4 linked regions of the Arabidopsis thaliana genome follow. The protein of the gene in region 1 interacts with the protein of each later gene in a biochemical or structural test. Each region holds a gene or a part of one and is shown in the gene's direction. Other genes may lie near its edges. The genes, in order: AT3G03770, AT2G14510, SRF6 and SERK4.

Evidence for each region.
Region 2: the proteins of AT3G03770 (region 1) and AT2G14510 form a complex in vitro, tested with the Arabidopsis thaliana proteins (one large-scale study listed by BioGRID).
Region 3: the proteins of AT3G03770 (region 1) and SRF6 form a complex in vitro, tested with the Arabidopsis thaliana proteins (one large-scale study listed by BioGRID).
Region 4: the proteins of AT3G03770 (region 1) and SERK4 form a complex in vitro, tested with the Arabidopsis thaliana proteins (one large-scale study listed by BioGRID).

The regions. Positions count from the first base shown.
Region 1 is NC_003074.8:943,895-951,354, reverse strand, and holds AT3G03770 (Leucine-rich repeat protein kinase family protein), read left to right. Parts: upstream 1-2,116; 5' UTR 2,117-2,476; exon of another isoform or gene 2,477-2,559; 5' UTR 2,560-2,651; intron 2,652-2,852; 5' UTR 2,853-2,918; coding exon 2,919-4,254; intron 4,255-4,348; coding exon 4,349-4,482; intron 4,483-4,575; coding exon 4,576-4,816; intron 4,817-4,912; coding exon 4,913-5,118; intron 5,119-5,191; coding exon 5,192-5,235; intron 5,236-5,403; coding exon 5,404-5,515; intron 5,516-5,594; coding exon 5,595-5,907; intron 5,908-6,029; coding exon 6,030-6,052; 3' UTR 6,053-6,278; downstream 6,279-7,460. Other genes in the region: LBD20 (LOB domain-containing protein 20), read right to left, coding at 6,682-7,092, 7,313-7,460.
Region 2 is NC_003071.7:6,169,881-6,177,465, reverse strand, and holds AT2G14510 (Leucine-rich repeat protein kinase family protein), read left to right. Parts: upstream 1-2,370; 5' UTR 2,371-2,389; coding exon 2,390-2,495; intron 2,496-2,605; coding exon 2,606-3,149; intron 3,150-3,242; coding exon 3,243-3,718; intron 3,719-3,911; coding exon 3,912-4,056; intron 4,057-4,130; coding exon 4,131-4,202; intron 4,203-4,281; coding exon 4,282-4,353; intron 4,354-4,421; coding exon 4,422-4,502; intron 4,503-4,594; coding exon 4,595-4,743; intron 4,744-4,951; coding exon 4,952-5,148; intron 5,149-5,235; coding exon 5,236-5,362; intron 5,363-5,458; coding exon 5,459-5,524; intron 5,525-5,640; coding exon 5,641-5,830; intron 5,831-5,927; coding exon 5,928-6,333; 3' UTR 6,334-6,524; downstream 6,525-7,585.
Region 3 is NC_003070.9:20,058,811-20,066,402, forward strand, and holds SRF6 (STRUBBELIG-receptor family 6), read left to right. Parts: upstream 1-2,594; 5' UTR 2,595-2,960; coding exon 2,961-3,054; intron 3,055-3,439; coding exon 3,440-3,572; intron 3,573-3,653; coding exon 3,654-3,728; intron 3,729-3,825; coding exon 3,826-3,891; intron 3,892-3,971; coding exon 3,972-4,043; intron 4,044-4,129; coding exon 4,130-4,201; intron 4,202-4,273; coding exon 4,274-4,345; intron 4,346-4,419; coding exon 4,420-4,485; intron 4,486-4,568; coding exon 4,569-4,631; intron 4,632-4,706; coding exon 4,707-5,023; intron 5,024-5,114; coding exon 5,115-5,401; intron 5,402-5,488; coding exon 5,489-5,760; intron 5,761-5,845; coding exon 5,846-5,978; intron 5,979-6,058; coding exon 6,059-6,192; intron 6,193-6,281; coding exon 6,282-6,441; intron 6,442-6,518; coding exon 6,519-6,665; 3' UTR 6,666-6,903; downstream 6,904-7,592. Other genes in the region: CYP59 (cyclophilin 59), read left to right, coding at 1-103, 193-698; RPT1A (regulatory particle triple-A 1A), read right to left, coding at 7,111-7,268, 7,358-7,533.
Region 4 is NC_003071.7:5,738,921-5,747,566, forward strand, and holds SERK4 (somatic embryogenesis receptor-like kinase 4), read left to right. Parts: upstream 1-2,671; 5' UTR 2,672-3,058; coding exon 3,059-3,155; intron 3,156-3,274; coding exon 3,275-3,416; intron 3,417-3,521; coding exon 3,522-3,593; intron 3,594-4,292; coding exon 4,293-4,436; intron 4,437-5,056; coding exon 5,057-5,125; intron 5,126-5,226; coding exon 5,227-5,298; intron 5,299-5,377; coding exon 5,378-5,454; intron 5,455-6,213; coding exon 6,214-6,342; intron 6,343-6,424; coding exon 6,425-6,766; intron 6,767-6,852; coding exon 6,853-7,247; intron 7,248-7,337; coding exon 7,338-7,661; 3' UTR 7,662-7,913; downstream 7,914-8,646. UniProt on the Arabidopsis thaliana protein: Dual specificity kinase acting on both serine/threonine- and tyrosine-containing substrates. Positively regulates the BR-dependent plant growth pathway and negatively regulates the BR-independent cell-death pathway. Required during SCOOP small peptides (e.g.

The DNA.
Region 1 (7,460 bases):
TATAACACTAAATTTATTCAAACTTGTCTATATGGCATCGTCAAATTTTGACATATTAAGATATTACTATTCTTAATGAATTCTAAAGTCGAATAAAATTAAAGGATTAGTTTGAGGATGCGGTTGATAAATTAGCAAATGATCACTTCACAATTACGACATACCTAACAAAAACCACAATAAATCTTAATGTTGAACAAACCATCTAACCTAATTTATTACACCGCAAGACGAAAATGACACACACACACACACTCCTCTAGGCTCTAACGTACGTCTTAATTAAGTATTTGCTTTCGCTTTCTACAAATCACTTTAATGTAGTGTATATATATTTATGTGATAAAAACAGAATAATGTAACATATGAATGCATGATAGTAATCAAGAAAAAAACATAAAATAGTCGTATAAATGTATTTCTATGAAATAATCTCAAATTACTTCACTTAGCCAATAAATTTTCATAATATATTAATTTTATAGTTGCCAGTCGATCAATTTTCACTACCAGTTAAAATAGTCGTATAAATGTATTTCTAGCCGTTATTAATTTTCTTTTCGTCTACCAAATTAAAGATCAATCTTTTTTTGTTAAGGAAAAAGAAATCGAAATTGGAAATTACCACGTTCTATTTCGTATTGTTTAAAGTTGGCTAGTCGATTATAAGCTGCACCAACAATTTTTAGTTTTATTTAAACTATGATTGTATACGACGACATTGACTATTGAGACATGCAACCAACAGATACAAAACAAAACTAACCAAAAAATGAAACACGCAAAATGAAGGAAAAAAATAAGATAAATTAAAATTAAATATTTATTCCTAAACGATGCACAGAAAAATCTAACAGAAGAAGATGCTTATATAAAACCAGGTGGACTAAAATTTCACAGAATTTTGTTTTCTTATGTTTGTAAGCATTTACTTTACTTGTTTTCTTATACCTGCAACTATGAATCATATTAAAAAAAACTACAAGATTAATAAAAAGATGAATCACTCATGGCACGTGAGAGTAGTCAAGAGATTAAGACATCATGCCTTAGTTTCAATTTAATATGATTAAATACACGAGTTTAGTTTAAATTGTTTGTTAATTTGATTTCCAATTCCTTGCATGTTATTCTTTATTGATCATATTATATGTGAGCTAATTTGTTGTATTAAGATTGTTTTCTTGAACTTTGAAAAGGTCGGAGAAGATTGGGACCTACATGTGTCACTTTAAAAGTCTGGTGTGACCTTTCTGATGGAGATGCCTTCGTGCGAAAGCTTACATTACAGTATGTGTCACAACTTCGCTTTCTTTTTATTTTCACCTTAAATATATATATTACCTCTTTCAGATTTAAGTTTTTGGATGGATCTTTTTTTTTTCTTTCAGTTTGGTTTTAAGCCTAGTTTTTGATAAAATTCCGGTGTAGTTGTTGTGGTTTTTATGTTTAGTTTGTTTTCAGCTTTCTTACATGATCAAAATTCAAAACAAAATTAGAGTTACACTAATTTACTTGGTTTTGTTTACTCATTCTTGATTAATCTTGTTTAACTTAGCATACCCAATTAATTGATAGACAGACTTTTCTCAATCAAATTAATATTCATATAAGAAACTTTAAAAAAATATCAAAATTAAATCTATACTATATAAAGACTTGTTTGCCTCAGACTCGTATTTGTAGATCATCCCCCTAAAGGCCTAAACCCTAAAAGAATATTTCTCTTATCATTACCTTTTTATCTTTCTTTTTTTTTTTGTCTTTTTACTTTTTCTTGGCCACAGCTTTGGCTGGAGTGGATTTCTCTTTGGTCCCTATTTTTTTGAAAGTGATAATATAATATGAACATATTTAATGCTGATAAAATAATTTACTTTGTGTACTGTATAAATAGTGAGACAACCAAAAATAAAAAGATCAGAAAAAAACGTCGGCCAGACCCTGTTGGATTCGCTTTTTTTTTTTTCTTTTTTAATTTGTTAAAAATGCATGTGAACACTTACAAGATTATTTTTTGGACAAAAAAATTCTATTTCTATTTTGTTTGTTTGTTTTAAAATTATTTTTGTAAAAAGAATTTATCGTTGTCTTCATCTCGTGATGGAGACTTAGAGAGGAGGACCAAACTCTCTGTCGTTAGCCACTGACAATTTACTAAATCGTATGGTTGCTAAAATGTTTTTGCATTGATTTTACAGAATTTGTTTTTGTTTATTGTCTATTTAAAAAATAAAAAAAGTTTGTTGGGTTAATATTGTTCCCAGAGTATCCTCTGTTTTATTCTTATAAGATATAATAATCACTCGTGAAGGAATCTTGAATGTTTTTAAAGCTCCTTGAGGAACTTTCATCTCTTACAGAGGATTTTCTTGGGAACTTTTCTCACTTTCTTCTTTAAATCAAGTTGCTACTTTTTTTGTTTCTTTAGATAAAATCGATATTCCATTCACAGTTACTTCATAAGTTTGCAGAGGTATTTCTTCATCTCAAAGGAAACGATTTGTCTTTTCATTTTCTCATTCTTCTTACTCTGATGAAACCAAATTTTGTTTCCAGGAAAAATAAAATTTAATCTCTTGTGCTCAAAAGTTTCCTGCATCTTTTCTTCTTGCAAGGTGTCTTAAAGAGGAGATTCTGTAACACATGTGGTGAGTTCTTCCTGTTTTTCTGGAATTCACATGCAAAAATCATATTTTTTTAGTTTGAAGATTGATTTCTAAGATTCTCTTCTGTTTAATGCATTAACGAGAAAGTGGTTAAAATATCAAGATCTTGAGAGTGGACCCTGTTTTGTAAGTACATTATATATAAATGTGATTCTTGAATGAAATGTGTCTCTCTCTTTGCAGGTTTTGATGATGATGCTTATATGATTTTATTTAGTAGTTGTGTGTGTTTTATGGTCTTGTGTGGCTATGGAGAAACTCTATTGTGGCATGCCGTTACTGCTTCTGGTTCTGCTTTTAGCTTCCATTGATGGCTCTACACAGCTACAATCATCTCAATCTCAAACCCTCTTGAGGCTGCAACAGCTTCTCTACTATCCCAAAGTGTTAAACAGCTGGAACAACTATACAGATTTCTGCAATTCTGAGCCAAGCCCTTCGCTAACCGTTGTGTGTTATGAAGATAGTGTAACGCAGCTTCACATTATAGGAGACAATGGAACTCATATGTTACCAAAGAGTTTCTCAATAAACTCGTTTGTTACTACTCTTGTTAAGCTCCCTGATGTTAAAGTTCTCACGTTTGTGTCCCTTGGGTTATGGGGTTGGTTACCTCAGAAAATCAACCGTTTATCCTCTTTGGAGATTCTCAATGTGAGTTCCAATTTCCTCTTTGGACCAATCCCTCATGAACTCTCGTCGCTTGCTACTCTTCAGACGCTTATACTCGACGAGAATATGTTTTCTGGTGAGTTACCGGATTGGATTGATTCTTTGCCGAGTTTAGCTGTGTTGAGCTTGAGAAAGAACGTGCTTAATGGGTCATTGCCTTCTTCTTTGAGTAGCTTGTCAGGTCTTAGAGTTCTTGCTTTAGCTAATAACCGGTTTAATGGAGCTTTGCCTGATTTAAGCCATTTGACAAACCTTCAAGTGCTTGATCTTGAAGGAAACTCTTTTGGACCGTTGTTTCCTCGGTTAAGTAACAAGCTGGTTACTCTTATACTCAGCAAGAACAAGTTTAGATCTGCAGTTTCAGCTGAAGAAGTAAGTTCTCTGTATCAGCTTCAACATTTGGATCTTTCCTACAATACATTCGTTGGTCCATTTCCTACTTCCTTGATGTCTCTTCCCGCGATAACTTACTTGAACATTTCACACAACAAACTCACCGGGCGGCTTTCAGCAAATCTTTCTTGCAACTCACAGCTGATGTTTGTAGATATGTCATCAAATCTTCTTACCGGAAGTTTGCCTACTTGCCTTAAACCGAGTTCCGGCACTAGCAGAGATGTTGTCTATGCAAGCAACTGTTTGGCTACTACGAATGAAGATCAACGTCCAGTTTCTTTTTGTAGTAATGAAGCTCTTGCTGTTGGAATCCTACCACAGAGGAGGAACAAAGTTTCCAAAGTGGGTATTGCTTTAGGTGTAACCGCAAGCATTCTCGGGGTACTTCTCCTCGCCGGTGCCTTATTTGTGGTTCTTAGGAGATTAAATGCTAAGAAAACAGTGACGAAATCTTCCCCAAGATTGATTAGAGAGAATGCTTCAATGGGGTACACATCGAAACTACTATCAGATGCAAGTAAGAGGATAAAATATCTCTCACATATTGTCACATAGATTACATAGAACTTGTCTTCATTGATAACTTGTGCTGTAACTGCAATACTTTGAAGGGTATATCTCTCAAACAATGAAGCTAGGAGGGCTCGGTCTTCCAGCTTACAGGACATTCTCACTGGAGGAGCTCGAGTATGCAACAAATAACTTTGAATCCTCTGCTTTCATGGGTGAAGGTTCTCAAGGACAGGTACAGCAGTGAAGCTTCAATCTTTCTTTAGCTAGTTTCCATTTTTTGAACAGTTGAATCAAACAAGATTTTTGTTTTCATTGTTCTTTTCAGATTTATAGAGGGAGATTGAAAGATGGATCCTTTGTGGCAATTAGGTGTCTGAAAATGAAGAAAAGTTGCAGCACACAAAACTTGATGCATCACATTGAGCTCATCGCTAAACTGCGGCACCGTCACTTGGTTAGTGTGCTCGGGCACTGCTTCGAGTGCTACTTGGATGATTCAACAGTCAGCAGAATGTTCTTTGTCTTTGAGTATGTCCCAAATGGAGAACTCAGGACCTGGATTTCTGGTACCACACTGAAACATCATGTGTTTTAAGAATGAAGATGATCATTATATATTTTTTAATAACTAAATCGGATTGTTCTTGTCTCTGCTGTGCTAGATGGGCACATGGGAAGATTGCTTACTTGGGAACAACGCATAAGCGTAGCGATAGGTGTAGCAAAAGGGATCCAGTTCTTGCATACCGGTATTGTGCCTGGTGTTTATGATAACAACCTTAAAATGACAGACATTTTGCTTGACAATAACCTTGCGGCGAAACTCAGTAGCTATAATCTTCCATTGCTTGTGGAAGGTCTTGGAAAGGTAAATGACGATGTCAAAAGTTCGAATGTTTTTGTTTCTTGAATTTTGAATCTCTTTTGCTTTCCTTTCTAAGGTGGGGCAAGTAGGATCTCGGAGCGGACCTAAAGGCACTCCAAGGTGTGTAATAATCTTCTTTACTCTGTTTCTCATCAGCTTGTAAACCCGGTTATATGGTTTAATCCTCTGTTTCTCAAAAGAATCAAAAACGGTTTATATGGTTTAATCCTCTGTTTCTCATCAGCTTGTAAACCGGTTTATATGGTTTAATCCTCTGTTTCTTAACAGCATCAAAGACGAAGATAAAATCGATATCTATGATTTTGGAGTGATATTGCTTGAACTTATAGTGGGAAGACCATTGAGAGCAAAGAGTCAAGTCGATGTTCTAAAAGAGCAGGTAACACCATTCGATATATATGTAGCTTGATGTGGAATCGCTATCATCTACTTTAAAAACTCTTTTTTATTTGTTGTAGTTACAAGCAAGCATTTCAGCGGATGATGGAGCACGTAGGAGCATGGTGGATCCAACGGTCCATAGAGCTTGTTCAGACCAATCACTGAAGACAATGATGGAGATATGTGTAAGGTGTCTCCTTAAAGACCCTTTAGAACGTCCTTCCATTGAAGATGTCCTGTGGAATCTTCAGTTTGCTTCTCAAGTTCAAGAAGGTTGGCTACAAAACAGCAATCCCTCGAGCAATCTCGGCTCGCCTTCTCCTGCTGCTTCCTCTCTTCCTCCTCCCTCTCGTTTACACGTAACAACACTCGAATCTCCCCGAGATTCAGGTATTTTTGAACTCGATCTTTTATGATCAATTGATTCAGTTCAGAATAGAATTTGATTGTTAAAGATTTGAGATTGAATAAGTTTATTGATCTGAGACTTATTTGTGTGGTTGTAATTGCAGGATGTGAAGAACATGAGAGGTAGAGAGACGAGGGTTTTTGTTTGGTCTTGTTCACTGATCACTACTCTTTGGAAAGAACATAACCTTTTTGTTTGTAATTTGATGTTTGTTTTTGTTTTTTTGTCTTTAGTTGTGTTGAGCTTAAACGATCATAACAGTTAATAATATAGTTAATTTTTCTTATAAACTTTACTTAAAAGAACAGTGTCGGTTAATTTTTATTCTTCAAAAGGAATACAAGTCCAACAATGGTGAGATAATTTTGGAAAATTCAATCGTTTTTTCTTCCTGTTTTGTTCAGCGAAAATAAATTAAAATTGTATATAGAAATTGAGATGGAACCGATTTCTAGGGTTTAGAAAAGATTTGCTTGATTGATTCTTCTTGTCCAAGAAATCAAAATAGAGGATAATGGCTGGTGTTGGATCATCAAATCCTTTACTTATTTATTAATTTGGATTCGTATGTAAATTCAGTTAATTCCAACTAGTATGATAATTAACCAATAACTACATGCATATATCTCATTCAAATATTTCACGACAACTCTACATGTATAGTATACGTCTGCTGGATATACTTATTCTCTTTCTCAACATTATTATAAAAACGGAGATATATTTAAATTAAAGACAAACCCTAGGTAATACATTCATCTCCGGTGAAAATCCTCCGCCGGAAATATAACCTTCGAAGCCACCGCCGTCGATCCAACAGCCACCGAAAAATCAGCACCGCTCTCTTCCTCATCCTCATGCTGATAATCTCCTCTCCTTTGCTGATGCGGTGGCATTGGCTGCAACGAATGTTCTAAGTTAGTCGGAGCCATGACGTCATAGCTGACGGCTGCTGCATCTGCCGTCATGGTGAAGCTGTTCATGGCGGCTCCGGCGAGAGTGGTGGAGGCGGAGGAGTTGTTGGAGTATTCGGGTTGTTGCATAACGACTAATTGTTGTTGCTGTTGTTGGTGATGAGTTTGTTGTTGCATAACGTTGGCCATTGCGACTCTACTGTTTATCAGTTGTGATTGCACCACCGATAACTCCGCCTGTAGCGAGGCCACCTAATTAATTTATGGTTAGAAAAGTATTTTTTATTTAATTATGAGCATCAATTATTTATTAGTCTTAATATAGCATAGGAAATGAATTTGCATTTAACAAAAAATCTTACGAAATATTCGGTTCGATTTTAACCGTTACAAGCTTTACTAAATAACAAAATTTGGACACCTGATCATTAGTATATCTTATTAGAAAAAGTTAATCAAGTATTAATTTTACCTGTTGTTGGAGAGCAAGGATGGTTGAGACGCAGCCATAGACAGGATCAGAGAGCCTAGCTTGAGCCTCGTATGAGATCGTAACCACCGCATCATGACGACGGTTCACCGGAATATGATGCAACAGTTTCGACACGTTGCTGGCTCCG
Region 2 (7,585 bases), on another chromosome or scaffold:
AGCATAAACACAACAATAAAGATAAGAGTTAGAAAGGATCTCTTCACTGTATTGAAAACTGAATGAATCTCTGAAGAACAATGGATGAATAGCTTATGTCTCTGAAAATAGGGTTTGCAAAGAACTTGATCAAAGAAAACTTAGGTCTAAAAACAATATAAAAACCCTATAAAATGTTCAGGGACTAATAATGCAAATAGGGAAGTCTTCTGGGGCAAATTTCCTCTTCTGTAAACTTGAAAGCGTCATGGACTTTGCTGGGCCGAAACTGGTGTCGATCGACACCAGGAGTGTGTCGATCAACACTCCTCTGAAACTGGAACTCAAAATCGTCTTTAACTTCCTTTTTCTTATCTTTTGCTCCAAAATGTCTCCTTATCTCCATTATCGTCCCACTGCATAGAATACCTGAAAAGACACTAAAAAGACTCGAGAAATAACATAAAGACTCAAAATCCTATACCTAAAACATAGATGAAATCAGTGAAAATAGGGATATATCAAGTCCCACTTTAAAAACACCTCTCTCTCTCTCTTCTCTCTCTCTTCTCTCTCTCTTCTCTCTCTAAACTTTTCAGAGAGAGAGAGATTTTGATCGAGATTTAGCCGTCCGGTACGCTTTACCGGCTTATGAATCCGGATGTGATCCGGTTTTGTCGATCCATCTCGCTGTCCTATCTCGCCATCAGGTGTATCCGGCGGTTCTCATGGCTATTCTGTTGCCGTTGTGTTTGTTTCACCGAATTGATTTGCGAAACAATTTGATATCAGTTTTTTCTTCTTTTCTAACTAGAAAGTTTCATGGTCTATTCTCGATCTGTCCCACCACCATCCACAATCAGGTAAGTGTTTTGGTGTTTCGATTGGGCGACTGTTTTAGTCTCATCCACATGAATCAAAATTCAGATCTGGGCGAATTATGGGTTGCTTGGCTCCTTCCAACCGTTATAGTTGAAACGGTCCGGCGTTTTTGACGGTTTCAATCACCTCATTTGAGGTCCGTCTTGCCATTCCAAGAAGTCAAGGTATCAATTTCCAAAGTCTATTCTTATTAGCAAGTGATGACAAGAGATCAGAAGCTTCACCTCGTCGTTGATTGTTTGTCGACGACTTCTTTCATGCTTTTGTTTTCGGAAAAGATCCAGTGATGAGAAGAGAAAGAATTTGAAGATTAAATTGAATCCTTTATCTTTTTCGGTTTAATAGCTGTCTGTTTTCATAATCCGGAGATGTTTCCGGTTGTTCACTCGCTGGAAATTGTGTCAGCTTCTGTTTGCATATTTCGCTGAAGGGGTTGTGGGTACCGGTTTACTAGGTTATCCGGTTCACCCGGTTTGTAAGATTGGTTTATGAATAAATATCCCTTTGAGAAAAAATCAAATAATAATCAAACTTATGGATATATAGAAAACAGATAAATAATAGAAGACTAAATTTTAATTATATAGTTGTATTGTTGGAGATGGATCCTAATCGGAAATATCAACATGCATGTACCAATAAAAATAAGGCACGTCCAATGTTGAACTAATCGTCTCAGCCAAGTAGAATAAATTTGATGGGATCTTATGGTAAGACTTTTTCGAAGTGGGAGTATAAAATCTTATAAGTGTGTCACGTCAAAATTATATAAAAGTGTTGGTTGTAGTATGTAAATGTTTTTTCGTTGAGATTTTAAAAAGTTTTGATGTAATGTGTAATTTCATTATACTCCCAACAAAATATTTTGTACATGAAAATTTGTTATTTGTTTAACAACAAAGAAAGAAAAATTGTTTTTGAAAGCAGCAAACATACATACAGGGTTGGACCACGAACCTAATATAATCATGCATGTATGTTTACTGCTTAAAAAAGTATTTGAAAACATAAGCAGCAAATATACTTTTTCATTTTAAGAAAGAATTTGAAAGCTATAAAATCTATTATTTTAATAGAAAATATATTTTTACGTTTTAAAAAAAACTGAAAATATATAAAGTCTAATTATACAATATATAGTGAACTTTGATAAGTAATTAATTAACATAAATATCTTATTTTCTAACCGTCTAATGGGACAAAATATTGTGTTTATCAATTATGAATGTTTTTTTTTTTTTGTATATATTGAACCTAAACCAAATTATCAAATATCAAAGCACTTCTAATTTCTTCGTATTAAACTTTCCAAACTAATATTAATTTATTACACTTCCATGACAACAACTAGGTTTTAAACATATTATTTTAGACTGTTATTATTTTCAGCCACTGATATTAATTTAGCTCATTTTCTATTTGGAAGTGACGTGTCCATATGTTGACATTGTCAACTTTGTACTTTAAGTTCTCATAATATAATGTGTTAAGACTTTTTGGTGTGTTTGAGTTTTTGTTTGGTTGAGAAATGAGAAGTAGAACAGAATCAAGAATGGAGACTCGTAACAAGTTTATGCTACTCGCTTGTGCCACTTTCTCCATTATGTCTCTTGTTAAGTCTCAAAATCAACAAGGTATTTTTACTGTTTTACACTTTTTCATTTTGTTTCCTTCATGTTTTTGATATATGAATTATCTCAAACAAAAGAAATCTTGTTCCGATTGTTACTTATTGTTTGACCAGGATTCATCAGTTTGGATTGCGGATTACCGTCTAAAGAATCTTATATCGAACCATCGAGTAATTTAACATTCATATCAGATGTCAATTTCATCCGAGGAGGAAAAACTGGTAATATCCAAAATAACTCACGTACAAACTTTATCTTTAAGCCATTCAAGGTTTTGAGATACTTTCCGGATGGAATTAGAAACTGCTACAGTTTGAGTGTGAAGCAAGGCACAAAGTATCTAATCAGGACTCTTTTCTATTATGGAAACTATGACGGTCTTAATACTTCTCCGCGATTTGACCTCTTTCTCGGTCCAAATATTTGGACAAGCGTAGATGTGCTAATAGCGGATGTAGGTGATGGAGTTGTCGAGGAGATCGTTCACGTCACAAGGTCTAACATCTTGGACATATGTCTCGTCAAAACAGGGACAAGTACACCAATGATATCAGCCATAGAACTAAGACCTTTGCGATATGATACTTATACTGCTCGAACCGGTTCCTTAAAGAGTATGGCGCACTTCTACTTCACCAATTCAGACGAGGCAATACGGTATGTCAACAACATAACAGAATACTTTATATTTAGTACCATGTGTTTTTTTTTTTTGCTCATTGACATAAACTTGATACTTGAGTGTCGCAGTTATCCCGAAGATGTCTATGATCGTGTTTGGATGCCATATTCACAACCGGAATGGACTCAAATAAACACAACCCGGAATGTAAGTGGCTTTTCGGATGGCTACAATCCGCCACAAGGTGTAATTCAGACCGCCTCCATACCCACTAATGGCAGCGAGCCATTGACCTTTACATGGAATTTGGAATCCTCTGATGACGAAACTTATGCTTACCTTTTCTTTGCTGAGATCCAACAATTAAAGGTCAATGAAACTAGGGAATTCAAAATTTTGGCGAATGGTGTTGATTACATTGATTATACTCCATGGAAGTTTGAAGCAAGAACCTTATCCAACCCTGCACCACTAAAATGCGAGGGAGGGGTATGTCGTGTGCAGCTGTCAAAAACACCGAAGTCGACTCTACCACCACTAATGAATGCTATAGAGATTTTTAGCGTCATACAATTTCCACAATCGGACACAAATACGGATGAAGGTATGTAGCCGTGTAGTTTTATGCACATATATAAAACGTAATAAGTTGGCACTTGGGAGACAACCATATTAAATGCTTTAGTCTACGGCTTAAGAGGATGTACGTGCTTAGGCTCAGAACCTCTTAGTTATTCAAAAGAATAAAGTAGTAATAAAATACGGCATATTTTATGCTTGATTCTTTTGTTTGCCAGTCATTGCTATCAAGAAAATTCAATCAACTTATCAATTGAGTAGAATCAGCTGGCAGGGCGATCCATGTGTACCTAAACAGTTTTCATGGATGGGTGTAAGCTGCAACGTTATAGATATCTCCACACCACCAAGAATCATCTCATTGTAAGAAAATTTATATTGTACATATTGTTATCAAATTATATGACAAATGTATCTTTGATATGTCATGCAAATAGAGATTTGTCTTTGAGTGGATTAACTGGAGTTATATCGCCTAGCATACAGAACCTAACTATGCTTCGAGAATTGTACGTATCTACATAATTTGAATTAAAAGGAAAACAATTGCTTTTGATTGGTTAACATTTATCTCTTGAAACATTATAGGGATTTATCAAATAACAACTTGACTGGAGAAGTGCCTGAATTTCTAGCCACTATCAAACCGTTGTTGGTCATGTAAGTTACCTAAATATTATTGTGTTGTCTTCATTAATTAGTTTCTAATGATTTCTCCACATCCACAGACACTTAAGAGGAAACAATCTTAGAGGTTCTGTTCCTCAAGCCCTTCAAGATAGAGAAAAGAATGATGGTTTAAAACTATTGTAAGAGTCTGTTTTTCGATGATCTAGTTTTGATTATTATCGACACATTTTTATATAGTTAATATTTCGTCAATAACGTTTTCATTTTTTAGTGTTGATCCAAATATAACGCGGCGCGGGAAACACCAACCAAAATCCTGGCTGGTGGCGATTGTTGCATCTATATCTTGTGTGGCCGTTACTATAATCGTGTTGGTTCTCATCTTCATTTTCAGAAGGAGGAAGTCATCAACACGCAAAGGTAAGTTAATAAATATATGATCCTAAATATATAAATATAAAGACCCTAGGCGAAACTTAGAGGTCGTCGATTCGAGTGACGCTTGGGACAAAACTTATTACATGTTGTGGTTTCGGGCCTGAGGGATTATCGGCCCAGAACCTCCTAGTATTCAAAAAAAAAAGAAAAAGTATGAAACCTAATGGATAGTTAAATTTATTTTCTGCAGTTATACGTCCATCATTGGAAATGAAAAATAGAAGATTTAAGTATTCAGAGGTCAAAGAAATGACTAACAACTTTGAAGTTGTTCTCGGTAAAGGAGGCTTTGGTGTTGTTTATCATGGTTTTCTCAATAATGAACAAGTAGCCGTCAAAGTTCTCTCTCAATCATCAACTCAAGGCTACAAGGAATTCAAAACAGAAGTACTTAATTACACTACAATCTTCCATTTATGTCTTTCGACAATCATGAGCTCATGAATTATACCATATTGTTGAATATATTGTTAGGTCGAACTACTTCTAAGAGTTCACCATGTGAATTTAGTAAGCCTTGTCGGATACTGTGATGAAGGAATTGACTTGGCTCTCATCTACGAGTTCATGGAAAATGGAAACTTAAAGGAGCATCTTTCGGGTAAACCATTAGAGTATGATACAAAGATTTTTGAGTTACATGCCAAATGCTTTAAAATTTTCTAACGATTTATATCCATATTGTGTATTTTGGCAGGAAAACGTGGTGGCTCTGTCTTGAATTGGTCGAGTAGACTTAAAATAGCTATTGAGTCTGCACTAGGTTTGTAGAAATTTATTTAATGCCTAGCATTGTTACTTTTTCTCAAGTTGATTTATTCTTCTTTCTTCGAGACTTCATTTTTATGATTAACATATGAAGATTTTTCTATGTACTAGGAATTGAGTACTTGCATATTGGATGTCAGCCGCCAATGGTACATAGAGATGTAAAAAGTACCAATATACTGTTAGGTCTACGGTTTGAAGCCAAACTTGCCGATTTCGGACTTTCAAGATCTTTTCTAGTGGGAAGTCAAGCTCATGTATCAACAAATGTTGCTGGAACTCTTGGATATCTTGATCCCGAGTAAGTTCTAGTTCACATCACATTATAGTATTCAGGATATGTTTCCTTGTATGTTTAGTAAACAAAAACCAAAATATTTCAATTACTTTTCTTGCAGATATTATCTAAAGAATTGGTTAACAGAGAAGAGTGATGTTTATAGCTTTGGAATTGTGTTACTTGAAAGTATCACTGGTCAACCTGTGATTGAACAATCGCGTGATAAGTCTTACATAGTAGAATGGGCCAAGTCTATGCTTGCAAATGGTGATATTGAAAGTATTATGGATCCGAATCTCCATCAAGATTACGACTCAAGTTCATCTTGGAAAGCTCTTGAATTAGCGATGTTGTGCATTAACCCTTCTTCCACACAGAGACCAAACATGACTCGGGTTGCTCATGAGCTTAATGAATGTTTGGAAATATATAACCTTACTAAAATAAGGAGCCAAGATCAAAATTCAAGCAAGTCCTTGGGACATACCGTAACTTTCATCAGTGATATCCCTTCAGCTCGTTAATCTTTTCATCTATATATTTGTGTTTGAAAGATACGTATAGGTTGTATTAAAAACTTATCATGCTACGCAGTTTACTCCTATTTGAATTGCATTATTTACATTCATACGTACATGTTGTATTAAAAGCTTCTCTTGCTATGCAATTTACTCTTATGTCCGTTCATGTAAATGTTTAGACGTAAATATTTATGGGCAATTGACAAAAATAACAGCAAAAAAGGTTTTTCTTCTAAAATTAGCACAATATTTCTAAAATTTCACAAATGACACTATAAACTTCAATTAAACTTAATTAAAATATAAGATAGAAAATAAAAATGAGAGCAAACACTAATCTAATTTAAATTGAATCAATTTTTTTTTTAAATAGTGGAAATATATACTATAAATTAGAAATAGAGAACCTAAATATAATAGGGAGATTTGCAAATTCTACCCATTTTCTAGTAACATTTTGCAACACTATCCTTCTCTGTTGTCCATTTTAAAAAATATCCCTTCTCTTTAACAAAATGACCAAATTACCCTTATCTAATACGATGTAATTAGAAATTAAAAATTTTCCTTGGAAATTTTTTTCCCGCCAAAAATAAATAAATTTCCCTACTAAAATTTTTTTCTCCCATAAAAATTTTTCTTCCCGCCAAAATTTCTTTCCCGCAACAAATGTTTTCCCAGCTAAAAAAATACATTGAAAAATCCTTGTAAATTTTTTTAAGAACCCTTTATAAACTTTAAAAAACCTTGTAAATTTTTTAAGAGCTTTATAAAGTTGTTAAATACTCTTGTAAATCATTTTAAAACCTCTTTGAATCTTTATAAAGTCTTTAAATACATATGTAAATTCTTTAAAACCCCTTTAAAAACCTTTGTAAATAAGTTTAAAAGCTTTGAGAAGCAAGAAGAAGCTTGTAAATCCTTGTAAAATGGTTTAAAAGATTTACAAGGATTTTAAAAACCTTTGTAAATCATTTTAATATCTTCTTAAAACTTTTATAAAGTCTTTAAATCATTTTTGAACTCTTAAACAAAACTTATAAATAATTTAAACCATTTGTAACTCTTTTTGAATCATTTTGAAACTCTTGTGAACACTTACAAAAGGTTTTAAAAAATTTTACAAGAGTTTTTAAAGGGTTTAAAAACCCTTGTAAATCTGTTAAAAACCCTTGTAAATCCTTTAAAACCCTTGTAAACCATTAAAAAATCTTTTAACAACCGTTGTAAATCCTTTAATAATTTTTGAACCATT
Region 3 (7,592 bases), on another chromosome or scaffold:
GACAATGCTCTGATCGATGATAGACGGATACATGTGGATTTCAGTCAGAGTGTGTCCAAACTTTGGTCACAGTTCAGGCAAAAAGACTCCCAAAAGGGCAAAGGTAAATCTTTTTTTTTTTCTCCTCCCTATGGAATAAGTGACCTGCTATAGACGAAACAAGTAATGAAATCCTTGGCAAACATGAAACAGGGAATGGGTGTTTCAAATGCGGCTCGACGGATCATATTGCCAAGGACTGTGTGGGTGGTCCGTCTTCAAAGTTTATTGTAAAAGATCAAAACAGACAGCACGGAGGAGGTGAAGGCTATGAGATGGTGTTTGAGGGTGATGTGCATGAAACCCCCAAGCATAATAGTCATGAGAGGGAGAGGAGTGAGAAGATTCAGAGGAGAAGTCCTCATGGTAATGGGGAAGGCAAAAGACAGCACAGAGATGAACGTGATGATGGTAGAAGACAGCATGATCGGGAAGACGCACGAGAACTGGAGAGGAAACACAGAGAGAGAAAAGAAAGAGAGAGTAGGGAAGATGAAGACAGAAGAAGAAGAAGACGCCGTGAAGAGTCTAGAGATAAAGAGAGTCGGAGAGAGAGAGACGAAGATGATCATCGGAGTCATAGAGATTATAAAGAGAGGAGAAGAGAGAGAGACGATAGACATGGAAGAGAAGCTAGACATGAGAGAAGGGATAGATGAAATCATGGGCTTCTCATTTTAAGGGATAGATGAAATCATGGGCTTCTCATTTTTGCTCTATGCGGTTAAGGTTTATAGTGTTTAGTGGGATTTGTATTAATGAGGTTTTTGAACTACGGAGAAATGTATCTTTTGAGTTTTTTGACTAGTGAAGTTCTAAATTCTCTCTATTAAGTTCCGAGGCATTAGATGATAAAACAGTTAAAGAAAGAGACCAAACCAATTCTAGTAGTCATGTTTTAAACTGTTTTCTAAGAGTCTTTTGTTGTTATCTGCGGTATGTTATGAGTTTCACGTTCTTAGATTCAATAAATTTTCAAACTAACTTGCATAACGTTAACTTTTAAGTCAAGAGAAGCAAAAGAAAAAACACACACACCGTTATGTAATGTAACAAATTAATGATCATTCTTCAAAGTCGACCAAACCAATTGACGCGAAGTTAGGTCACCTACTGTTTTGGATAACGAGAATATTATTGACGGGAAATAAAACGGCACGCCGTATGTCTTGGCTGGAGGAAAACGACAGCACATCTGTCGTAATTAGTATAATCATTAACAGAAGAAAAAAATGAATAATTAACTTATGATAATAGACAGAGAGAATTAAAAAAAGTTTCCCACCGACAAAACTGGAGAAGTTGTCGTGTGAGTTAGGAAGCAACCTGGTCTATTATTCAACATGTTTGATATATCGTATAATAGTTTTTACATTGTTACATTCCTTTTTTTAAGAGACCATTAGATCATAAAATCGTAATTGCACAAAAAATGGTTGTATTTGTTGAGTGACACAGAACTAGTTGAACTGTGAGTATACACAGAATAATATTCTCTGTATTATTTATCTGAATAATATTGAAACCAATATATGGAAATGTCTGAAGATGACTTAAGATTCTCTGTATCATATATACAAGAAAACAACAAAAACTACGAATTTTGAAAAATTTAATAATTATATATGAATTCGTAGTTATATAAAATTAAATTAAATGTCTTTGTCACCCATACTCGGTTCTCGCTGGCACTTGCTTGACAGTTCAAGTTAAGATTCAGCTGCCTGAATAATAAACATTGAAAAGTTTCTCACACAATCAACTGCATACATTAGCACATACTTACACGAAACAGAGACAACCAAAAAGACTATACGAGCTGAGATAAAATATAAGTTAACACAAAATTTGTGTGCCTCGTCGATTATGAGAAAAATTAAGTTAATAGTCAAGAGAAATCAAGGACAGCGGATACACACATGGTCATGCGAGATGTTCAACGAAGAAGTTACAACTTATTATTATTATTAGTTACAACTTGCAAACCACGTACAAATAATTGATAAACTATTATTTAATGATTAAATGTCATGATAAAATTGATTACAAACTTGGAATTACTATGCAAGATACGTATGACCAAGCAGAACAACTATAATTGAGTTCAAGAGTTCCTCAGGGATTTGGTATTTTTCTTTTGGTATCAATGTTATATATTTATATTATTTTCGCAAGTTAGCTACAAATTAATTACACATATTCTTCTGGTAAACAAATTAGCTTTCTTTTCGTATTTACATTGACTTAGTTTTAGTAAAGGAAACACACAACGTCGTCCTCTTTTAATTTCTTTAGTATATAAACTTAGAAAAAAAGCCGGAGAAAAAAACGTAAAAGTAAAAAAAACACGATGAAATGCATGATGGGACAATTTAAAGACTAAAGAGCCAATCATAGCCATTAGCCAACCTTCATAGTGATATCCATTGTGTAAAATTAAAAGCAACCTTTAAAAACTTTAAAGAAATGAAATTCAAAAATACAATGATACAACCTCCAACGAACAAATTATTGTGAATAAATAATGGGTCAAACTCAAACCATAATCATGATACACCAACAAATGAACAAATTATTGTGGATAAATCTGGAAGGAACATAATAATACTGTAATTAATGTTCATATTATTGAGTAGAAGGGAAAAAAAAAAGACTTAAACAGAAAGAAACAAAAGAGCCTAATCTCCTATGTGGGTTTGGATTCTTAGCTTATTGCTAAAATCGTGCTTGACAGCTTTACTCTGTAAAAATTCGTTTACTACGAGCTAAACGAAACACTATATAATCTGTCATCAAATTTTTACTTAAGAAATTATTAGAATTCAAAACAAACACAAAAAAAAGTTTCTAGATTTCTCTTTCTTTCTTAAGCTTTTTCACAAGACTAGACTTTAGCTTATCGTTCTAGAGAGAGGAAGAAGATGAGGGAGAATTGGGCGGTGGTGGCTCTGTTTACACTATGCATTGTAGGGTTTGAGCTTAGATTCATCCATGGAGCTACTGATGCATCAGACAGTGAGTTTCTTCTTCTTCTGAGAATCTTCTTCACTTTATTTCGCTTTTGATTGATTTTAAGCTGAGTGGGTTGTTCAAAGTCTCTATCTTTTTCGTATATCCTTCAATTGATTCTCTTCATCCACAGTTTCAATCTTTACCTTTCTCAAAAATATGTACTTTGCGTAATGGCTTTTCTCCAAATCTCAAATATGTTCAGTCTTTTTGGGCTAAAGCTTGAACCTTTCACTTCTCTGTGTGTTTCCTAATCTTGAGAACAAAACATTATAGAGTTTATATATAATCTTGATGATCTCAAGTGGACTTTAAAGCAGGAACTGATTTGTGGTTAAATTTGTGTTGATTGGATTGTGGTTTAATGGTCTCTGTTTTCTAATTTGTGCAGCTTCAGCATTGAACACATTGTTCAGTGGTATGCATTCTCCAGCTCAGCTAACACAATGGACTGCAGCAGCTGGTGATCCTTGTGGCCAGAATTGGAGAGGCGTCACTTGTTCCGGCTCACGAGTTACTCAAATGTTTGTGATTTTTGTAATCAATATTCTTGTCTCCTGCTTTGATTTATATCTAACATAAGTTGTGTTATATTTACTTGGCAGAAAGTTGTCAGGTCTTGAGCTCTCTGGAACTCTTGGAGGATACATGCTTGATAAATTGACTTCTCTTACCGAGCTGTAAGATCACCCTCTGTCTAATCCTCCAAACTATTACTTGAAGTCGTGTTTAGAGATAATGAGTTTTCTAATTTGTAATCTTTGATGGAACTTGCAGTGATCTAAGCAGCAATAATCTTGGAGGTGATTTACCATATCAGTTTCCTCCAAATCTGCAACGATTGTACGGTCCATCAATTCTCCTTTGTTTTGGTTTCTAATGTAATATCTGTGCTCTCGAGTTTATAACCGTCGGTGTTTCAGGAACCTTGCGAATAATCAATTCACTGGAGCTGCTTCGTACTCACTTTCTCAGATTACACCACTTAAGTATCTGTAAGTAATTGCCTTACTTCACATTTCTCTCGAAATCTCTCATAAAGATGTGAATATTAATGTTTTGTCTTGTGCAAACAATTCAGCAATCTTGGTCACAATCAGTTTAAGGGGCAGATAGCTATCGACTTCTCCAAGCTCGACTCTCTCACAACCTTGTAAGATCTTAGTAAAGATACTCAAGGGTTTTTATCACATTAAGATATTTGACAAGATTACATGTGTTTCAGGGACTTCTCTTTCAATTCTTTCACGAACTCTTTACCGGCAACGTTTTCCTCTCTAACAAGTTTAAAATCACTGTAAGTTTTCAGGAACCTCTTACTGAACTGAAAGTTTACCAGTTACTAAACATGTGGCTTTTAACTTCTCACAGATACCTTCAGAACAATCAGTTCTCAGGCACAGTCGATGTCTTAGCCGGTCTTCCTCTTGAGACTCTGTGAGTAACTAAACCTTATTACACGTGAAGCTGGTTTTTCTTAAACATTTATTAACGTTTGGTTCTTCTTGAATGTTCCTCAGGAACATTGCGAACAATGACTTCACGGGGTGGATCCCCAGTTCTTTAAAGGGCATCACATTAATGTAAGTTCTCATTTCACACACATTTGCTTGTTTCTTTAAACCTTTAATCTCACTTTTCTTGTTTCTTGCAAACAGAAAAGATGGCAACTCATTCAATACTGGACCTGCACCTCCACCACCACCTGGTACACCTCCTATCCGTGGCTCCCCGAGCCGTAAATCTGGAGGACGTGAAAGCCGGTCTAGTGATGAGTCCACCAGAAATGGAGATTCCAAGAAATCAGGAATCGGAGCGGGGGCAATTGCGGGCATAATCATTTCATTGTTAGTAGTTACAGCTCTTCTTGTTGCTTTCTTCTTGTTCAGAAGAAAAAAATCAAAGAGGTCATCACCCATGGACATTGAGAAAACCGATAACCAGCCTTTCACTCTTGCTTCAAACGACTTTCACGGTATGCACACATATACATTACATTTTGCCTTTGGAACATAATTTAAGATTTAAACAAAGAAAAATCAACTTAAGACTCCATATGGTTGCAGAAAACAATTCCATTCAGAGTTCTTCATCAGTTGAGACAAAGAAACTGGACACTTCATTGTCTATTAATCTTCGACCTCCACCAATTGATAGAAACAAATCATTTGATGATGAAGATTCGACAAGAAAGCCTATTGCTGTCAAGAAATCCACAGTGGTGGTTCCTTCAAATGTGAGACTCTATTCAGTTGCAGATCTCCAAATTGCTACTGGCAGTTTCAGCGTAGATAATCTTCTTGGAGAAGGGACTTTTGGACGAGTATACAGAGCTGAGTTTGATGATGGAAAGGTAAGATATTATAATATTGTTATGTAATCCTAATCTCTATGTCTCGAATGATGTCATAATGTTGTTGGAAAACGTCTTATCTTTTAGGTTCTTGCTGTGAAGAAAATTGATTCGTCTGCTCTCCCACATGGCATGACCGATGATTTCATTGAAATGGTATCGAAAATAGCCAATTTGGATCATCCAAATGTGACCAAGCTTGTTGGTTACTGTGCTGAGCACGGACAACATCTCGTGGTCTATGAATTCCACAAAAATGGATCATTACATGACTTCTTACACTTATCAGAAGAGGAAAGTAAAGCATTGGTGTGGAATTCACGAGTCAAGATCGCTCTTGGGACTGCACGCGCATTGGAGTAAATTCCATAAACAATTCATTGCTTAGCTCACTATTAAAAAAGAAACGAGTATTTTGGTTAACTGAAAGTATTGTTCTTGCAGGTATCTGCATGAAGTTTGCTCACCGTCTATAGTGGACAAGAATATCAAATCAGCTAATATTTTACTCGATTCAGAGCTGAATCCTCACTTATCAGATTCTGGTCTCGCAAGCTTCCTTCCCACAGCTAATGAGGTTGGATATACAAACGTTTCTCAAAACTCTTTACCATTTCTCAACTTATTTGGTTGCTTAGATCATTCTGATATGTGCAGTTATTAAACCAAACCGATGAAGGGTATAGCGCACCTGAAGTATCAATGTCAGGCCAATATTCTTTGAAGAGTGACATTTACAGTTTTGGAGTAGTGATGCTTGAACTTTTAACTGGGAGAAAACCATTTGACAGGTAAACTCTATTATGATCCAAACTAGGCTTGATGTATGTAGTTGAGAAATGTGTTTCTGTTTGAATCTTACAACTGGTTATAATTTGAGCAGCACAAGGTCAAGATCTGAGCAGTCACTGGTTCGATGGGCGACACCACAACTTCACGACATTGATGCTTTAGCCAAAATGGTTGATCCAGCTCTTAAAGGGCTTTATCCTGTCAAATCCCTTTCTCGATTTGCAGATGTTATCGCTCTCTGTGTCCAGGTAAACTAATGGTCACAAATCGAGTCTTGCAAATTCAAGAAAGTCTTTTACTGATTTTGGGTCTTGTTTCTTAACAGCCGGAGCCGGAGTTTAGACCACCAATGTCTGAAGTTGTGCAGGCTCTAGTTGTGTTAGTGCAGAGAGCTAACATGAGCAAGAGAACTGTCGGAGTTGATCCATCGCAACGTGCTGGTAGTGCCGACACGACCAGTGATTACATGTAAATGCCTCTACCAAGAGAAAAGACAAACACTTTGCTCCGTCGGATGTTAATCATAGACAATTGGAAGATAGAAAAAAGCAACCTCATACATTGTATAATCCCATTGTTTTATTGTAATTGTATGTTCCAAAGGTGTAGCTTCTAGATCCTTTACATGAACAAAATTCTTTCTTGTAATCTTCTACATTGGTTCTATTTGGGCTTGGTTCAATTCTTGATCATCAACTTGTTATCAATTTCAAAAGACGTGAATTCACAAAAAAAAAAAAACTTAACAAAGAATTTATGAATCCAAAAGTAGTAGACATTGAAGAAGATAAACCCGAGTTACTGGAATAAGTTGTGAAACAAGTACTACAAAAGAGCTTGAAGGGAAGAGACACAAACAAAGAACAAAGAGTGTTTCGGAGTTTTATTTCGGAGTTCTTCTATCTGTCTCAATCTCTCTAATTGTAGACCATATACTTGGGAGTGGCACTGAACTTTTGGTAACCTTTAATGACTTTGTTCACTGCGTCTAGAAAGTCTTTCTCAGTCACAGTCTTTCTCCTAGCTCTGATTGCGTACATTCCTGCTTCAGTGCATACACTTCGAATATCAGCTCCTGCAAAAAGACAAGATTTACAAAACCCAAAGTCAGAACAAATTCCAAAAGACAGAAAAGCTGTTTCATGGTCAAGGGATCATCAATACCCGTTGAGTTTGGGCAGAGGCGAGCAAGGAGTTCGAAACGGATGTCTCTTTCGCAGTTCATGGTTCTTGTGTGAATCTTGAAGATCTGTGTTCTGCTCTCCAGGTCAGGTAGACCAAACTCAACCTTACGGTCAAGACGTCCAGGACGTAAAAGAGCTGGGTCTAGTGTGTCAGGCCTGGATTGAAGAGTTAATACAGAAACACCAATGAGTCAAGCAGTATTATTGGGTTTTGT
Region 4 (8,646 bases), on another chromosome or scaffold:
ATTTCTAATGACATCCTAATGATATTTGTTACACTTTTAAGGTTACAACTTATGTTTGTACTCCCCAAATAATATAGTAGGATTTGTACTAGTTGTCCATATTCGTATTTCAGTTATATTTTTTGTATCAATTGCATTATTATATTTTTGTTATACCATTTGTACAAATTCGTATTTATATTATTATTTTTTAGTTATACCATTTAAACTAGATTGTCATGTGATCTCTCATTTGTAACAGCTGTATTATTATCTTTTAGTTGTACCAAATTGTACCATTTCTTCTGTTATTTTTTAAGGATAATTTAGAGATATTATATTTATAATGACACTCAGATTACAAGATGGTCACATAATGGCATAAGTTAGCGGTGGGTGTTCAGGTTGACATTGGGTATTTCAGATTTTTGGGTTTTTAGATTTAGAGATATAGAACCCGTTTGGATATTCCTAGATTTCGGGTTCGGATCAGACATTTCTGATTCGGATTCGAATTATCTGAAATTCCCAGAAAATCAAATCGTTTATAACTAAATCTGTCCAAACTACTAATACACAAAATATCTAAAAATCTTGAATATTTTTGGAAAAATTCTTTTTAATGCCCTTTTCATACTACCCTTTTTCAATTCTACCCTTTTCTATTTACCATTTTCATTTATACCCTATTTAAAATTTTAATGACCATTTTACCCTTATTTGTAAATTGATTTAGGTTAACAAAATGAAATATTAATATTTTTCGCTTAAAATATTCCAAAATAAAATTTCCAGCCAAAATTTCCCGCCAAAAATTTTCCAACAAAAAATTCCCGCCAAAAAATTTCCCACCAAAAATTTTGAAAAAAAAAATTCCTGCCAAAAAAAAAATTTCCCGTAAATTTTTTTTTTTGGGCGGGAAATAGATTTTCAAGGGATTTTAAAAGGGTTTTAAAAGAGATTTTAAAACGGTTTAAAAGATTTACAAGAGATTTTAAAAGGGTTTAAAAAGATTTTCTAGAGATTTTAAAGGGCTTTAAAAGACTTACAAGAGATTTTAAAGGGCTTTAAAAGGCTTACAAGAGTTTTTAAAGATTTTTAAAGAGTTTAAAAGTGTTTTAAAAGATTTACAAGAGATTTTTAAAAGGTTTTAAAAGATGTACAAGAGTTTTAAAAAGATTTTAAAAAAAATTATAAGAAAACCCTTTAAAAACTCTTGTAAATCTTCTTAAAACATTTTGTAAAGGTTCACAAGAGTTTTAAAATGGTTCAAAAAGAGTTGTAAATGTTTTAAATACTTACAATTCTTTTTCTAAAAGTTAAAAAATGCTTGTAAAGACTTTATAAGAGTTTTAAATGGATTTACAAATGTTTAAAATCCTTTTCAAACTCTTGAAAAACTCTTGTAAATCATGTTTTACCCTTTTATAAGCTTTTAAAATCCTTGTAAATCATTCTATACCACTTACTTATCTTTTAAAAACAATTGTAAACTATGCAAACCTTTTTTAAAATCCCTTGTAAATCATTCTTTGACACTTACTTATGTTTTAAAAACGATTGTAAATCATGTTAAACACTTTTAAAATCCCTTGTAAATCATTCTATGCCACTTACTTATGCTTTAAAAACGATTGTAAATCATGTTTTACCCTTTTATAAGCTTTTAAAATCCCTTGTAAACCATTCCAATGTCACTTACTTATACTTAAAAAAACATTGTAGACCATGCTAACCATTTTTAAAAATCCTTGTAAATCGTTCTATGCCACTTACTTAGGCTTTAAAAATGATAGTAAATCATGTTTTACCCTTTTATAAGTTTTTAAAATTCCTTGTAAATCATTCAATGTCACTTACTTATGCTAAAAAACGATTGTAAACCATGCTAACACTTTTTAAATCCCTTGTAAATCATTCTATGCCACTTACTTATGCTTTAAAACGATTGTAAATCATGTTTTACCCTTTTATAAGTTTTTAAAATCCCTTGTAAATCATTCAATGTCACTTACTTATGCTTAAAAAACGATTGTAAATCTTGTAAAACTATTGTAAAAAGTTTTAAAATGATTTACAAAGGTTTAAAAGGCGGTTTAAAAGTATTTATCTATGTTTTTAAAGACTTTATAAAGATTTTAAGAGGTTTTAAAATGATTTACAAGGGTTTTTGGCAACTACCAAAGCTTTTAAAAAATTTACAAGGATTTTTAAAAGCATTTTTTTGGTTGGGAAAAAAAATTTACGAGAAAAATTTTGGCAGGAAATTTTTTTTTTGGCGGGAAAGTTTTTTTTTTGGTGGGAAAAAAGGTTTGGCGGAAACTTTTTTTTGGCGGGAAAAATAAATTTGGCGGGAAACTTTCAGTTTCCAATTACATGTTCTTATTAGATGAGGGTAATTTGGTCATTCTGTTCAAGGGAAATGATATTTTTAAAAATAAACAATATAAAAGGGTATTGTTGCAAAAGAGTAGTAAAAAAAGGGTAATTTTGAAAATCTCCCATATTTTTGACCCAAATTTATTCAAAAGTGATTAGATACCTATAAATATTATAAATATCACAAAATTTATATATTTTGACACAAATTATTACAAATATAAATATTAATAATAATATATTATTAATATTTATATTGTGGATATGTACAGAAACCCGTTGGAATCGGATTTGGGTTTATTTTTTTTGGATTTGGAATAAAACTGGGTATTTTGAAAATTTGGGTTCGGGTTGGATCAGGTTATTATTGGATTCGGATCGGGTGTTGGGTTTGGATATTATGCCCAGCAATGGTGAGTACTCCTCTCGCCATCATCAGTCTTTACTCTGTTCCAAGTCTTCCTTCTTTGGCTCAAATGGGGTCCACGATCATCAATCCAAATAGATTCGACTTTTTGTTCTGGGGTTTCGTCGAGAATTCGATTTTTGGGTTTCTTTCGAAACTTGGTCAAATGTCGAATACGCGTTACAAAGAACAAACCTTTCTCTTTATTTCGTTTGTCTTCGTCAACGGCTGAATCAACCAAATGGTCCCTGGAATTAATAAACCTCTAATAATAATGGCTTTGCTTTTACTCTGATGACAAGTTCAAAAATGGAACAAAGATCACTCCTTTGCTTCCTTTATCTGCTCCTACTATTCAATTTCACTCTCAGAGTCGCTGGAAACGCTGAAGGTTCTTCCTTTTTCTGCTACTCTCATGAAAAGTCCCTTCCTTTTTGGTGGTTGTTAGATTTCGAAAGTTCATAACTTTTTTTGTTTGTTTGCTGGTTTGGATTATGAATATGTGTACAGGTGATGCTTTGACTCAGCTGAAAAACAGTTTGTCATCAGGTGACCCTGCAAACAATGTACTCCAAAGCTGGGATGCTACTCTTGTTACTCCATGTACTTGGTTTCATGTTACTTGCAATCCTGAGAATAAAGTTACTCGTGTGTATGTTTCTCTCTCTCTGTCTTCTTTTTTGCTCTCTGTGCTGGTTTTGTCTGAATGAATGGTTCAATAATCCCTTTGGGAATCTACTGTTTGATGTTTGCTTAGTGACCTTGGGAATGCAAAACTATCTGGAAAGTTGGTTCCAGAACTTGGTCAGCTTTTAAACTTGCAGTACTTGTAAGCCATCTCTTCCTCAATGTCGATTAATTCTATAGTGTTCAAGATGGACTTGAATTTGTTATGCATATCATATGCTTCATCTTACTTGTTTAATGACTGTGACATAGTTGTGTTTTTGCTTTCAAAAGAGAATTGTGGATAAACAATTTTTTTCTCAGAGTAGAAAACTATGTGTGTGCGCTCTCTTGTGGTTGATGCATCTGAAATATATATATATATGTCGATTTATTTTTGATATCGTTGGTAATCACCAATCAGTGCCATTTTAGATCTCTTTAGCTAGGCTTCTCGAGCCTTGTTACTGGAATCCTTTATAATCATCTTTCAGCTAGAACCATGGCATTATGAAAGACATTTTATTTTTTGAATTCTCTATGTCAAATGTTCTCATTTAACTCTATTAGATAAGTAACTGGAGAGTTTGGATCTGGTATTTCTCTACAGGTGATCTCAACTCTACATATTTGTGTTGCGGCTGCAAAATGTTTTTTTGAAAATATTGCTTACAAATATAGTTTCCACGTTCATGTATCTTAGCTGTCTACGATTATTATAGTTCTTCATATTAATGGGTATCTTGTTTATTACATACTTCATTATGTTTTCTGTAGCCTGAATTTCTGGTAAAATAATTTTAGAGATTTTCCAATCGACAATAATTAAGCAAAGCTTAATGACAGGTTTGCTTAATGACAGGGAGCTTTATAGCAATAACATTACAGGGGAGATACCTGAGGAGCTTGGCGACTTGGTGGAACTAGTAAGCTTGGATCTTTACGCAAACAGCATAAGCGGTCCCATCCCTTCGTCTCTTGGCAAACTAGGAAAACTCCGGTTCTTGTATGTACCATAAACTGCTTCTTCTCTTTACCGCTAGCTTTCATTGCTTACAGTTTCAAAGTTTGGTTGTATTTCTTTGCTAAAAAACTATTGCGTCTAACATTCAGACCTTAATGAAGGTCACGGTCTTGTGTAAGTATTTCAGGGAGATGGTTGTTATAGGCAGCCTTGTTTTGCTAGTTTGCTACCCCGCATTTAGTCAAGTAGAAGAAATTTGATTTCTTTAGTAAAAGCTTACCCATTGAATATATGATGAATTTAGTTGTATGTCATTATTTCGTGCCTGTAAGATGATATTTGATAATAACCTGCCTCAGGTTTGGATAGAACCTGAGGCCATGTCCTATCAAAAAAGAGACCTGTGAATCTTCTATAATCAAAAACTTATGTGTACATGTGTATCATGAATTTTTCAGAAGTAGTTAGAGACTCAGTGTACAAATTCAATAAACAAATTCAGTCACTGCCCTAAAAGTTCTATGCAGTTGGATAAGATCTTACATCAGCTCTAATTTCTGTTATTATTTTTGTAGATAAATCGTATTTTGCTGGATGTTAAGTGATTTTAAATTCCTTTAGTGGTTAATTTCAATGTTTGACATTCTACTATATGTGGTTAGGCGTCTTAACAACAATAGCTTATCAGGGGAAATTCCAATGACTTTGACTTCTGTGCAGCTGCAAGTTCTGTGAGTGTAACTTTGTCTCTCCTGATTATTCTGTTTAATATTTTTTAATATATTCTAGTGCAATCTTGAGCTCTGACAAATGGTATCATCCTGAAATGCAGGGATATCTCAAACAATCGGCTCAGTGGAGATATTCCTGTTAATGGTTCTTTTTCGCTCTTCACTCCTATCAGGTTTTCCTTCGTGTTCCTAGCTTTATTCTTGATTAGAGTTGTCAGAATGAATTACCAATTGTTTGGAAGTTATCTGCAGTTTTGCGAATAATAGCTTAACGGATCTTCCCGAACCTCCGCCTACTTCTACCTCTCCTACGCCACCACCACCTTCAGGTTTTCACTTCCATTTTCTTCTTAGTGTTTCTTGTCGGTTATTTTACATTCTTCAGTTTCCAACTTCCTTCTTTATTCTTATCTTTAATGGGTGAATGCTGTATGGCATTCTCACATTTAGCCTAACGTTATATCTCCCTTCTCATGCACTCAATTACTTTTTGAAATCTTATCTACAGTGGTATGACCTTAGACCACTATATTCTTTTTTATTTATGGCTGCACATTCGAATGTGGAAAGAAATTTAGTGGATATGTATATGTTTTGACTGTTTCATGGTTCTATATTTGGAACATAATTATATTCGTATCTATATATTTCACATGTCTTTGGTAGGATTGGTAACCTGCTAATGAAAAAATCTGACTTCTTACTAGAGTTTTTATCATTTTACACTGATCGGTGTTGAAGATGATAAGTGTGACATAGATTTGAACCTGGCAGCTTGACTTAGTAGAAACAGAAATTCATGGACATTGCTGAAAAAGGAAATTATGAAACAAGTGTGAACTTGCTAATTTGCTGAAGTATAAAGGGTTAATGGACACTATAAGAAAAAGAGTGTTTATAGACAATTTGTGGGACACAAAGATCTATGTGACACTTGTGAAACTCTTTGATCTGGAAAATGTATTAGCTCTTTTCACATTTGCTCAAACGTTCCACTTGGTTGATTAATTAACTATTTTCCCATAGAAACTCTTCACTGCGAATGAGTTCTGTATTAATAAACTTTGTGTGTTATCTCATACTATCAGGGGGGCAAATGACTGCAGCAATAGCAGGGGGAGTTGCTGCAGGTGCAGCACTTCTATTTGCTGTTCCAGCCATTGCGTTTGCTTGGTGGCTCAGAAGAAAACCACAGGACCACTTTTTTGATGTACCTGGTTAGTCAACTCTCTTCATCTATTTTCCCATTGAAGCTACTTTGGCTGATTTTTATCTGTTTTGGTGGACCAAACTTTGCAGCTGAAGAAGACCCAGAGGTTCATTTAGGACAACTCAAAAGGTTTACCTTGCGTGAACTGTTAGTTGCTACTGATAACTTTAGCAATAAAAATGTATTGGGTAGAGGTGGTTTTGGTAAAGTGTATAAAGGACGTTTAGCCGATGGCAATCTAGTGGCTGTCAAAAGGCTAAAAGAAGAACGTACCAAGGGTGGGGAACTGCAGTTTCAAACCGAAGTTGAGATGATCAGTATGGCCGTTCATAGGAACTTGCTTCGGCTTCGTGGCTTTTGCATGACTCCAACTGAAAGATTACTTGTTTATCCCTACATGGCTAATGGAAGTGTTGCTTCTTGTTTAAGAGGTACCACAACTTTGTCCTATAGTATTGTTTGACTGGTTTTTGATTGGTCAGTTGGGAAGTATCTTATCCTTGATTTTCTATTTTAGAGCGTCCTGAAGGCAATCCAGCACTTGATTGGCCAAAAAGAAAGCATATTGCTCTGGGATCAGCAAGGGGGCTTGCGTATTTACATGATCATTGCGACCAAAAAATCATTCACCGGGATGTTAAAGCTGCTAATATATTGTTAGATGAAGAGTTTGAAGCTGTTGTTGGAGATTTTGGGCTCGCAAAATTAATGAATTATAATGACTCCCATGTGACAACTGCTGTACGCGGTACAATTGGCCATATAGCGCCCGAGTACCTCTCGACAGGAAAATCTTCTGAGAAGACTGATGTTTTTGGGTACGGGGTCATGCTTCTCGAGCTCATCACTGGACAAAAGGCTTTCGATCTTGCTCGGCTTGCAAATGATGATGATATCATGTTACTCGACTGGGTATGTTTTTAATAGTTCCCGATCATATTTTTGAGTTCAAAACTGTTATTTTGCAATAAAGAAGAGTGTTTCTTTTCTGGGTGTGATTAGGTGAAAGAGGTTTTGAAAGAGAAGAAGTTGGAAAGCCTTGTGGATGCAGAACTCGAAGGAAAGTACGTGGAAACAGAAGTGGAGCAGCTGATACAAATGGCTCTGCTCTGCACTCAAAGTTCTGCAATGGAACGTCCAAAGATGTCAGAAGTAGTGAGAATGCTGGAAGGAGATGGTTTAGCTGAGAGATGGGAAGAATGGCAAAAGGAGGAGATGCCAATACATGATTTTAACTATCAAGCCTATCCTCATGCTGGCACTGACTGGCTCATCCCCTATTCCAATTCCCTTATCGAAAACGATTACCCCTCGGGTCCAAGATAACCTTTTAGAAAGGGTCTTTTCTTGTGGGTTCTTCAACAAGTATATATATAGATTGGTGAAGTTTTAAGATGCAAAAAAAACCCATGCACTTTTGAATATCAACTCCTCTATAAGTAGTTTTGTGTCTCTTGACGAATAAAGAATATCATTACTCCACTTGAGCATAAAGCAAGATGTTTACCAACCAATAAAGCTTAACAATATTTTTCCGTGAAATTCGAATTATGGGTTCGAACCCACCAAAATCTTCTTGATTAAATTTATTCTTTTGTTTGAAAAAGAAATTGAAATTAAATTATTGTATATATCTAGTATAAATACGTAATTTAACAAAAAAAAAAAAATACATTATATCACCTATATTAGTATTTTTGAGGTACATTTTGTACTTGGATCAGGTCAAATCATATCTGGAATTGTGATCCTGATATTCCATATTTAATAATCCCTTTGTTTTACTTTAGTTGTTGTTTTAGCACTTAATTTTGTTTCATATATAATATTTGTTGTTTTAGATTTTCAATATAGATGTTCGATAAAAGTTTCAATTTATCCTCACTGTTTTAATGTCTTAACCAATGAAAAAGAATTAGAAAATATATTGAACAAGGGTGAAGTAGAATATTTAATTATTTTCTTAATTTATGTGCAAAATCCTGAAATGACAAATAATTCGAAACAGAGAGAGTAATATAGATATTTAGGGTCTGTTCGGTTGATCATCTGACATTTCCATTCATATGATCCATCTCAATATTCTATCCAAATGCTCCATCTGAATGATGTTCGTTTCAATTTTTGGATATTCATTTGGATGGATCATCTAAATGAATTTTTGTTTGTTTGCTTAATTTTTATAAATCTTCATCTCCATCTAGATGAGTTTAATAACCAAATGACCAAAATACTCATACTTTTGTCTAATCAGTTTTTTTTAATCTTAATCTTAGCTATATTAATCTAATTGTTGCTCTAAAATATATTT